Mus musculus: one gene and its partner. The protein of the gene in region 1 interacts with the protein of each later gene in a pairwise test. Links are inferred from orthologs where the notes say so. Each region holds a gene or a part of one and is shown in the gene's direction. Other genes may lie near its edges.

Region 1 (4,603 bases):
TGGAATGGTTACCCCATAGCAGCATCTGACTTTTTAAATTTATGTTGTTGCTACTATTGTTTTTATTTCATATGTCTATGGATACTTTGCTTTAGTCAAGGAAATGTAAATACCACAGTCTTTATGATACTGATTTAATCCAAATCAAATTAATATAAATACTTAATGGGAACTTAAAAAATACCCAAGAGAGTTCCCTAACATCCTTTAGTTAGCGCAGCCTAGTTAGGGGATGCTCTGTGTGCTGACAGGAAACCAAAATGGAAATACTGACCCGGAACCTGGGAGGCCGAACACAAAACTCAAGTCTGTAACCTGTCCTTTAGATCAGTTTTTCTTTTCTTCTCGAATGTTTATTTTTATATGTGTGTCGGCGTGAACCCATGACACTCATGCGCAGGTCCCCAGGCTGAACTAGATCAGCCTCTCAGGCTGCTGTGCTTGCCGACTGGACGAAACTGCATTTACAGGACGCCACGCAAACTGTTAAATAGACACCTGACACACAAGCAAGGCCTTCGGTGTCGGACGAATCAGGAGTCCGTTCACCAAGGACCTCTCCCTCCAAAGCCTGCCCATCTACTTGACCACGCACAACACGAACTTCTGCAGACAGCTGCGGCGGTCGGTTCCTCTGTGCATCTATGAGAGCGCGTTCGGTTGCTCAGCAGATATTCTGGAACGAGGAAACGGGAAAAAATGTGATCACTGTCCTAAGAGACGTCGTCGCTACTCTTCTGGACAACTGAGCGCGGGCTAAACCACTCACAACATCTGTAGGGAGTTTTCAGGTCCCCGTAGGACGTGCCAGGCCAGGGTGCAGGTGCTGGCTGCGTCCCCTCAGCTTGTGCTGGGGCACGGTCTATCTCAGGACAGGGGGCGGGGCGCGGGGACACGGTCCATCTCCGAGCACGAAGCCAGGCGCTGGGCCCTCAACAAGAGGCCTGGAAGGACCAGAACGGCGGACAGGCTAAGGTCTGAGGTCTGGGCTGCGTCTCGCAGGCACTGTGGAGTCGTGACAGCCTGTGTTCACACCTGAATTTGGTGAGCAGAGGCGACTCACAGTGAGGAAGTCGCCCTGAGATGAGCTGACTCCGCTTTCTTTAGGGCGGGGCCGCGCAGAAAGGAGGAGCGCGCGGTGAGGGAGGGGTCGCGCAGGGAGGGCGGGGCCGCGCAGAAAGGAGGAGCCCGCGGTGAAGGCGGAGCGTTCAGGGAGGCGGGGCTAGCGGTGCGGTGAGGGCGGGGCCGCGCGGGAAGGAGTGGCTCGTGATAAGGGCGGGGCGCACGGTGAGAGCAAGGACCGCGGTGAGGGCGGGGCCGCGCAGAGAGAGCAAGGAACGCGGGGAGAGCGAGGAGGGCGGGGCCTCGCAGGGAGGGCGGGGCAATTAGTGAGGGCAAAGCGCGCGGTGAGGGCGAAGCCGCGCAGGGAGGGGCGGGGCCGAGCCCAGAGGAGGCGCGCGCCGTGAGGGCAGAGCGCGCGGGGAGGGCGGGGCTTCCGAGCAGAGCAGGGCCGCGAGCGCCCTCCTTGCCGCGACTGGCCGGCCTGCGAGGGGGCGGGGTTTCCGGCGGCGGCGCACTCGGGCATCTCCTGACGCAGAGTGGACGAACGTCACGTGACACGGAAGTGACTCCGAACAGGAAGAGGACGAGAAAAATAACCGTCCGCGACGCCGAGTGGGAGCGGACTCAGAGCCACCATGAACAGCAAAGGCAAGGCCGGGAAGTGGCGGGGGCCGTCGGGGAAGCGGGCGGGTTCGGGTCGAGCGGGCTGGGGGACGTCGGGCCTGGGGCGGTCTGTGCGGCTCTCTTCAGCGGGCCGCACAGCGCGGCCGCACCTGACGTGGCCGCCCCCCTCCACCCCCACAACGCAGCCGCTCGGCCCTCTGGGCCCCGACCCCATAAACCGTGTGGCGCAGTTTGGAGCCGCGGGCTCCTGTGTGTGGGGTGGGGGGGCTTTTCCGTGACGGACAGCGGCTGGAGCGAATGGCGAGCTAGAGCAGGGATTTGGGGAAGCCAATGGAGGGCGGGCGGAGGCGGGGCGCCGCGCCTCGGAACAACAGGCCTCGGCCGAGCTTAACTGCTGAGGTGCCGGCTCCGCTGCACGGCCCAGGCCCTCGAGGACCCGTTCTCGCCCGCCGGGGACTTCTGGCGCTTCCTCCTCGGGGCCCGGACTCGTAGCCGCCCCTGTGCGTTGCTAATGTTTGTGAGAACATGGTCGCGTTCCCCACCCCTCCACCCGCCGCCCTTCTCACGGTTAACTTCCAGTCACTCACTCTTTGGAGGTCGACCTTGACTAGGAACCCGTGAGGTAAACACTGAGAACCGTGGGTCCCACAGAGTCAGGACTGGTTACAGCACAGCCCGGGGGAGATCACCCAGAGGAGTCCCCTAAGACACCAGCAGTCCGGAGACCCCGGAACGGGTCCTCAGACCTGCCCTCTATTCGAAAGGGAACATGGCCAAGTTAGCCTCCATCAATCAGTATGCTAGTGGGAACGGCGCCTTCTGCCCAGTCAGAAGCCAGCACCTTCGGGCGCGAGGGTGCCGAGACCATCCTTATTTTCCTGGCTCTAAGAAATAAGGCAGCCTTATTTGCAGCTCTTCTGCTTGCTCCCCACCCTGTGCACCCTGGCCCGTCTAGTAGCTCTGCTTACAAACTTGTTTTTATTCAAAGTGTGCCTGCCTCTGCCTGTGTAAGTGTCTGTGAGTGTGAGTGTAGGTGCCCACCAAGGCAGAAGGTAGCGTTGAAAGGAGGTTGTGTCATATGTGGGTGCTGGGAATAGAACTGGGGTCCTCAGGAAGAGCAGCACTTTGTCTCACACACTGAGCATCTTTCCTGTTTGCCACCTCCCCTCCTAATCTGACAGACAACATCTCTCCTCCCCTTTTGTATTCCAGGTCAATATCCAACACAGCCTACCTACCCTGTGCAACCTCCTGGGAATCCAGTATATCCTCAGACCTTACATCTTCCTCAGGCTCCACCCTATACTGATGCTCCACCTGCATATTCAGAGGTACTGCAGTTTCCTAGACTTGTAGCTAGTTGAGAACACTCTTGGATCCCCTTGTTAAGTCTTCAAATCTGACTTCACAAGCAGAAGGATGCTCTGTGAATCATCTAGAACTTAAGGTGAAAATTACCATTGGAATTGAATGCAGTATCTGATTATGCTATTTGACACATGCTGACTTAAGCTGAGTTTGGGTCCCTTGAGCACAATAGTAGCTGTGGACGCAAATGACTCAGAATACTGTGTGCCAGTGACTATAACCAGTGTGTAATCTGCAAACACAAGAACTAGGAACAAGGGGCTAGAGAGATGGCTCAATGGTTAAGAGCACTGCTTTTCCAGAGGTCCTGAGTTCAAATCCCAGCAACCACATGGTGGCTCACAACCACTGGTAATGAGATCTGACACCCTCTTCTGGTGTGCCTGAAGACAGCTACAGTGTACTTACATATAATAAATAAATCTTAAAAAAAAAAAAAAAAAAAAAAACAACTAAGAATGGACTCATGAGCCATGCGTGGTGGTACAGGCGAGTAGTCTCAGCATTGAGAGGCTGAGTCAGGAGGAAGCTGAGTTCAAGGCTGCCAGTATAACCAAACCCCATTTCCAAAACCAAACAAGGGGCTGGGGATGTACCTGATTTGGTAGAATGCTTGCTTAGCATGCACCAAGCCCTAGATTTGGTCCCTAGCACAATGTGAACTGGGTTTGGTGGCACAGGCTTCTAATTCCATAGTCAAGAGGTAAAGCAGGAGAGTCAGGAGTTCAAGGTCATCCACTCCTACATACTTGAAGGCTAGCCTGAGCTACAGGAGATGGTCTCAATAATACTTAAAGAGATTCCAAATAGGAATGTCACAAAAATAATGTTTTGCTTTCTCTTCTGCTTCTTTCAGCTCTATCGTCCAAGCTTTGTTCATCCAGGGGCTGCCACAGTCCCCACCATGTCAGCTGCATTTCCTGGCGCCTCATTGTATCTGCCTATGGCCCAGTCTGTGGCTGTTGGGCCTCTAGGCTCCACAATCCCCATGGCTTATTATCCAGTTGGTCCCATCTATCCACCTGGCTCAGCAGTGTTGGTGGAAGGAGGGTATGATGCAGGTGCCAGATTTGGAGCTGGTGCCACTGCTGGCAACATTCCTGTGAGTATGCCTAACTGGGAGCTCAGCCCTTGTATACTTGAACAGTCTGAAATGACTTCATATTCATTCTCCAACCATAGTGGTCAGGGCTGGCACAGCTGCTGCCCTCTCAGAGCAGAAATGTGGCCGGGCCAATCAGGGCATTGGACACAGCCCTTGGTTTTAGAGTTAATCAGGTTGATTTGTTTTCTTGTCTTATTAAATTAGTGGCATCTTCCTTTGATCCTAGCACTTAGGGGCAGAGACAGGGGGATCTCCGAGTTTGAGGCCAGTCTGGTCTACAGAGCGAGTTCCAGGACAGCCAGGGCAACATAGAGAAACCCTGTCTATAAATTTAAAAAGACTGCTAGCTCCTTTTTCAGTTGTTCAGGCACAGTGAACTGGTCCAGGGGTGCTGCTTGGTGAGTTCATAAGCATTTAATATTTGCCATGAGTGGGGAATGTACT
Region 2 (3,931 bases), on another chromosome or scaffold:
GGATCCTAGCTAGGTTAGCCTCCCTGTGGGACAGCCCCACATTCCCCTTGTACCTCAGCCTCCCCTGCTCTTCAGGTGTTTCCTGTTTGTTCCATGCATTGACTTGTCTAATATTTGAACAGGGTCCCATGTAGTCAAGGTTGACCTCATACTCATTATGTAGCTGGAGATGACCTTGAACTTGTGACTTTCCTGTTTCTGCCTCTTGTTTTTTTTTTGTTGTTGTTGTTTGTTTTTTGAGACAGGGTTTCTCTGTATAGGTCTGGCTGTCCTGGAACTCAACTTTGTAGACCAGGCTGGCCTCGAACTTAGAAATCCACCTGCCTCTGCCTCCCAAGCGCTGGGATTAAAGGCGTGCGCCACCACCGCCCGGCCCTGCTTCTGCCTCTTAAGTGCTGGGGTTGTATATATGCGCCTGGTTTTATATGATAGTTGGAGTTGAACCCAGGATTTCCTTACATACTATCAAGGGTCATATGTTGTTGCTTTGATCACTCCTGGGGCCTATCTGAGTAGTAGTTTGATGTTCACCGGAACTTGTAGATGAGGCTAGCTCAGGCCTTCTAGGTGCCTAGATCTGAGGAGTAGGTAGTGGCTGAGGCTCTGCTCGTGGCCAGAACAAACAGTAAGTCCAGGAAGTCCCCAGAGAACATATGACAGGACTGTGCAAAGTCTGATTTCAACTGGAAAGAAGGGTCCTGTCCCCAAGAGTAGACACACTGCCTAGAAAACATGTTATGACAGGATTCTTCGTTGTCTCTTGCCAGTTCCCCATGGTGTACACCTCCGATCAAGAACTGGGCCCTTTTCTCTGTGTGAGGCCTGGATCTACTCCCAGCTCTTGGGTGACCTGAGAGTTAAGCAAGCTAAAATAACGCTGGTGTCCTGAGCACGTGGGGATTCTAATCTGAGAGTACCAAGTGCCTGTCTGCCCCTCTCCCCAAGGACACAGTGACACCCTTGCCTTTTCTGTATTCTGGAGGCCCTCCAGGGGCAAGGTCTCAGCAGGAGAGAAGCTGAAAGGGGCACCTTCCAGGGTCAGCCACCTGGTGTCTAAACCTGTATATAAATATAAGACATGGAAGAATTAATGGTCTTTTCACTCAAAATGCAAACCAACCCTCAGGGTCTGGCCTTGGCCTTTGCCCAGTTCTGCAGCTGTAGAAGTTGACACCCTGGGCTCACAGATTCCCAGCTTTTTTGACATTTTGTTTGTCATTTGGAGAGCTACCTCCCTGAAGAAGGCTTACCCTCCCAAACAGAGCCACTACCTACTCCCATATCCTAGTGGGATCTGTACAGGTGACACAGCCAGCTCCCTCGTCTATGGAAGGACTCTCCTGTTCAGGGGACACTGGGAGACAAAGTTGCACAGACTCTGGTTGGAGAGAGATGTCCTTGCCCAGTGAGTGGCTGACTGGCCTCAGTGTCTGAAATAAGATCTGCCCAGAGGTACATCTGGAACTTGGCCTTCTCAAGGGTCCCAAAATAGCCAGGCCTCTAAAGGGACAACTTCATGTGAGGACACAGGAAGGACCCCCAACTGCCCTCGGGCCAAACAGGGTTTATTGTACCGAAGGGGGAAAAGGTTCTGTGGTGCTTCTTCAAAACGTGCCAAGGAACTGTTTACTGGGAGCCCTGAGACAGAGCACTGCTGCTCGAGTAGGGAGAGATGAGCTCAGCTGGCTCCCTGTTGAGCGCAGACAAAGCACAATGTGGGACAGGTGGACAGCATAGCATCCAAAGGGGAAAACTGATCGAAGGCAAGGGGGAGTCTAACCAGACTGACCTAGCAGGATTCTGACCATCCAAGGGTGATGGACAGACATCTGGGGAGGATTGGAGGTGGCCAGACCTGGGCTATCCACCATGGTGGGCTGGGAACAAGGAGGTTCTGGTTGGCTTGATTTAGCTGTTCTTTTGCAATAGCTGGATTTTACAAGGAAACACGTAGCTGGGCCTAGGAGAAAGCCCAGTAGCCTTGCTATAAAGTTAGCCAGGCGGAGACTCTTAGTAGTTGGCCTTGTAAGACTGGCGAGTAATCCCCTGGTTTTGTTCTCTTCTTGCACCACTTCTGCATTCCAGTGCATCTCCTTTCCTACAGCTTGTTCTAAAAATAGTTCCAAGGAGCTAGCTAGCTCCTGAAACACACACACAGATTACACACAACACACAGAGCATACACGGTACATGCACAGAACACACAAAATAGCACAGACAACACACCACGGAGCATACACAACACATAGAACAGAGTACACACAGAGAGAGAGAGAGAGAGAGCACAGACAACACACACAGCACACACACAGAGCACAGACAACACACAGAACAGCACATACACAGCACAGCACATACACACAGAACAGAGCACAGACAACACATACACAGCACACACAGAGCACATGCTTACATTCTTTTCCAGAAAGATTTTCAAGCTACATTCTGTATTGATCAAATACAAGCTGTGCAGATGAGAAATATTGGCAGCTGAGAAGTGTGCTGCTGTAACTGGAGTTGAGTCTTCCTGGGGTCACCTGGCTTCACCCTCTGAAGATGCACAGGGGTGGTTTGCCACTATCTGCTGTCTACACTGCTGTCACCCAGGAAAAAAACCTCTCTCACCACTGTGAGAAACAGACCTCTCTTGTACTTCAAACTGATACTTTGACTCCTTGGTGTGCCACGAGACAGGTTTTAGTATATAGCCCTGACCAGCCTGGAGCTCACTTTGTAGACCAGAATGGCCTCAGAGTCACAGAAACCTGCCCACTTCTACCTCTCTCAGGTCCTGGGATTAAAGACATGACCACCATTTCCAGTCCCCCTAAACCTTAAAGTGCCGCTCACACAGTAGACTGGGACTCTGGAGAAAGCAGAGCAGTGGAGTGGTCTGGCCCCCTGTGCTCAGCCTGACTGAAGTGTGAGGCCCATGTCACCCAGGAAGATCCGAGACTCTCAGCACCACCCTCCTACTCAGGGACTGCTCTGCCACATTTCTAACCAGTCTTTGTTCCTCCTTACTTTATGTTAGGACACTGCATCTTCAGCCAATGGCCCTTCCCGCGATGGCTCCCGCCTGCTGCCCATTAGGGAAGGCCACCCCATATACCCCCAGCTCCGACCAGGCTACATTCCCATCCCCGTCCTCCATGAAGGCTCCGAGAACCGGCAGCCCCACCTTTTCCATGCCTACTCCCAGCCTGGGGTGCAGCGATTTCGTACCGAGGCTGCAGCGGCCACTCCGCAGAGGTCCCAGTCTCCTTTACGTGGCGGCATGACAGAAGCCGCCCAGACAGATAAACAGTGTGGACAGATGCCGGCAACTGCAACAACTGCAGCAGCTCAGCCCCCAACTGCTCATGGACCTGAGGTAAGAAGAGACCCAGAGACCCAGAGACCCAGTCTGTGCTGGGCCAGCAACCTGCCTGGTAGTACCCAGGGCTCATAGCCTGCAGCCTCAGTGGTTCTCGTTAGAGAGTTGGTTGGCGGCCTCACATTGTCCCCGTATCTTACGCCTGTATTTTTCAGATGGCCAGAGATCACATGGCTTATTTTTGTAGTAGAAGAATTGACGCCAACATGGTAACTGCATGATCGAAATGCATAGCGGTAGGGGTCTCACAGCTCAGAGCAACTGCCTCGCTTCCTTCATCAGTGTTCCTATTCACACTGGGCTCCCTGCTTCACAGAGAGCTCAGAGTTACTCTGTTCAGTCCTTTCGGGTGGACATCAACCATTTTGGACCTAAGCTGGAGATAAATTCAGGATGGCAGCTCGGTCTTCAGGGCGTGCCACTAAAGGAAATCCAGCGTTAGGTCAGAAAGGCGACAACTTTAGCCCTGAGGTTCACCATTTCGAGGTCTGTCGCTAGTGAAAGGGTATATTGCTCATTCGGTTCTGAGTTGAGGTTGTGGCCGACAGATGGGGT

The links.
Region 2: the proteins of Dazap2 (region 1) and Bag3 interact in binary tests that used the Homo sapiens proteins (3 or more experiments, as listed by UniProt). The two-hybrid records come from large-scale screens. The link is inferred for Mus musculus from reciprocal best matches to the Homo sapiens genes DAZAP2 and BAG3.

Annotation. Positions count from the first base shown.
Region 1 is NC_000081.6:100,614,015-100,618,617, forward strand, and holds the start of Dazap2 (DAZ-associated protein 2), read left to right. Parts: upstream 1-1,647; 5' UTR 1,648-1,697; coding exon 1,698-1,710; intron 1,711-2,035; exon of another isoform or gene 2,036-2,308; intron 2,309-2,898; coding exon 2,899-3,017; intron 3,018-3,910; coding exon 3,911-4,156; intron 4,157-4,603. UniProt on the Homo sapiens protein: In unstressed cells, promotes SIAH1-mediated polyubiquitination and degradation of the serine/threonine-protein kinase HIPK2, probably by acting as a loading factor that potentiates complex formation between HIPK2 and ubiquitin ligase SIAH1.
Region 2 is NC_000073.6:128,536,939-128,540,869, forward strand, and holds part of Bag3 (BAG family molecular chaperone regulator 3), read left to right. Parts: intron 1-3,034; coding exon 3,035-3,373; intron 3,374-3,931. UniProt on the Homo sapiens protein: Co-chaperone and adapter protein that connects different classes of molecular chaperones including heat shock proteins 70 (HSP70s), e.g. HSPA1A/HSP70 or HSPA8/HSC70, and small heat shock proteins (sHSPs), e.g. HSPB8.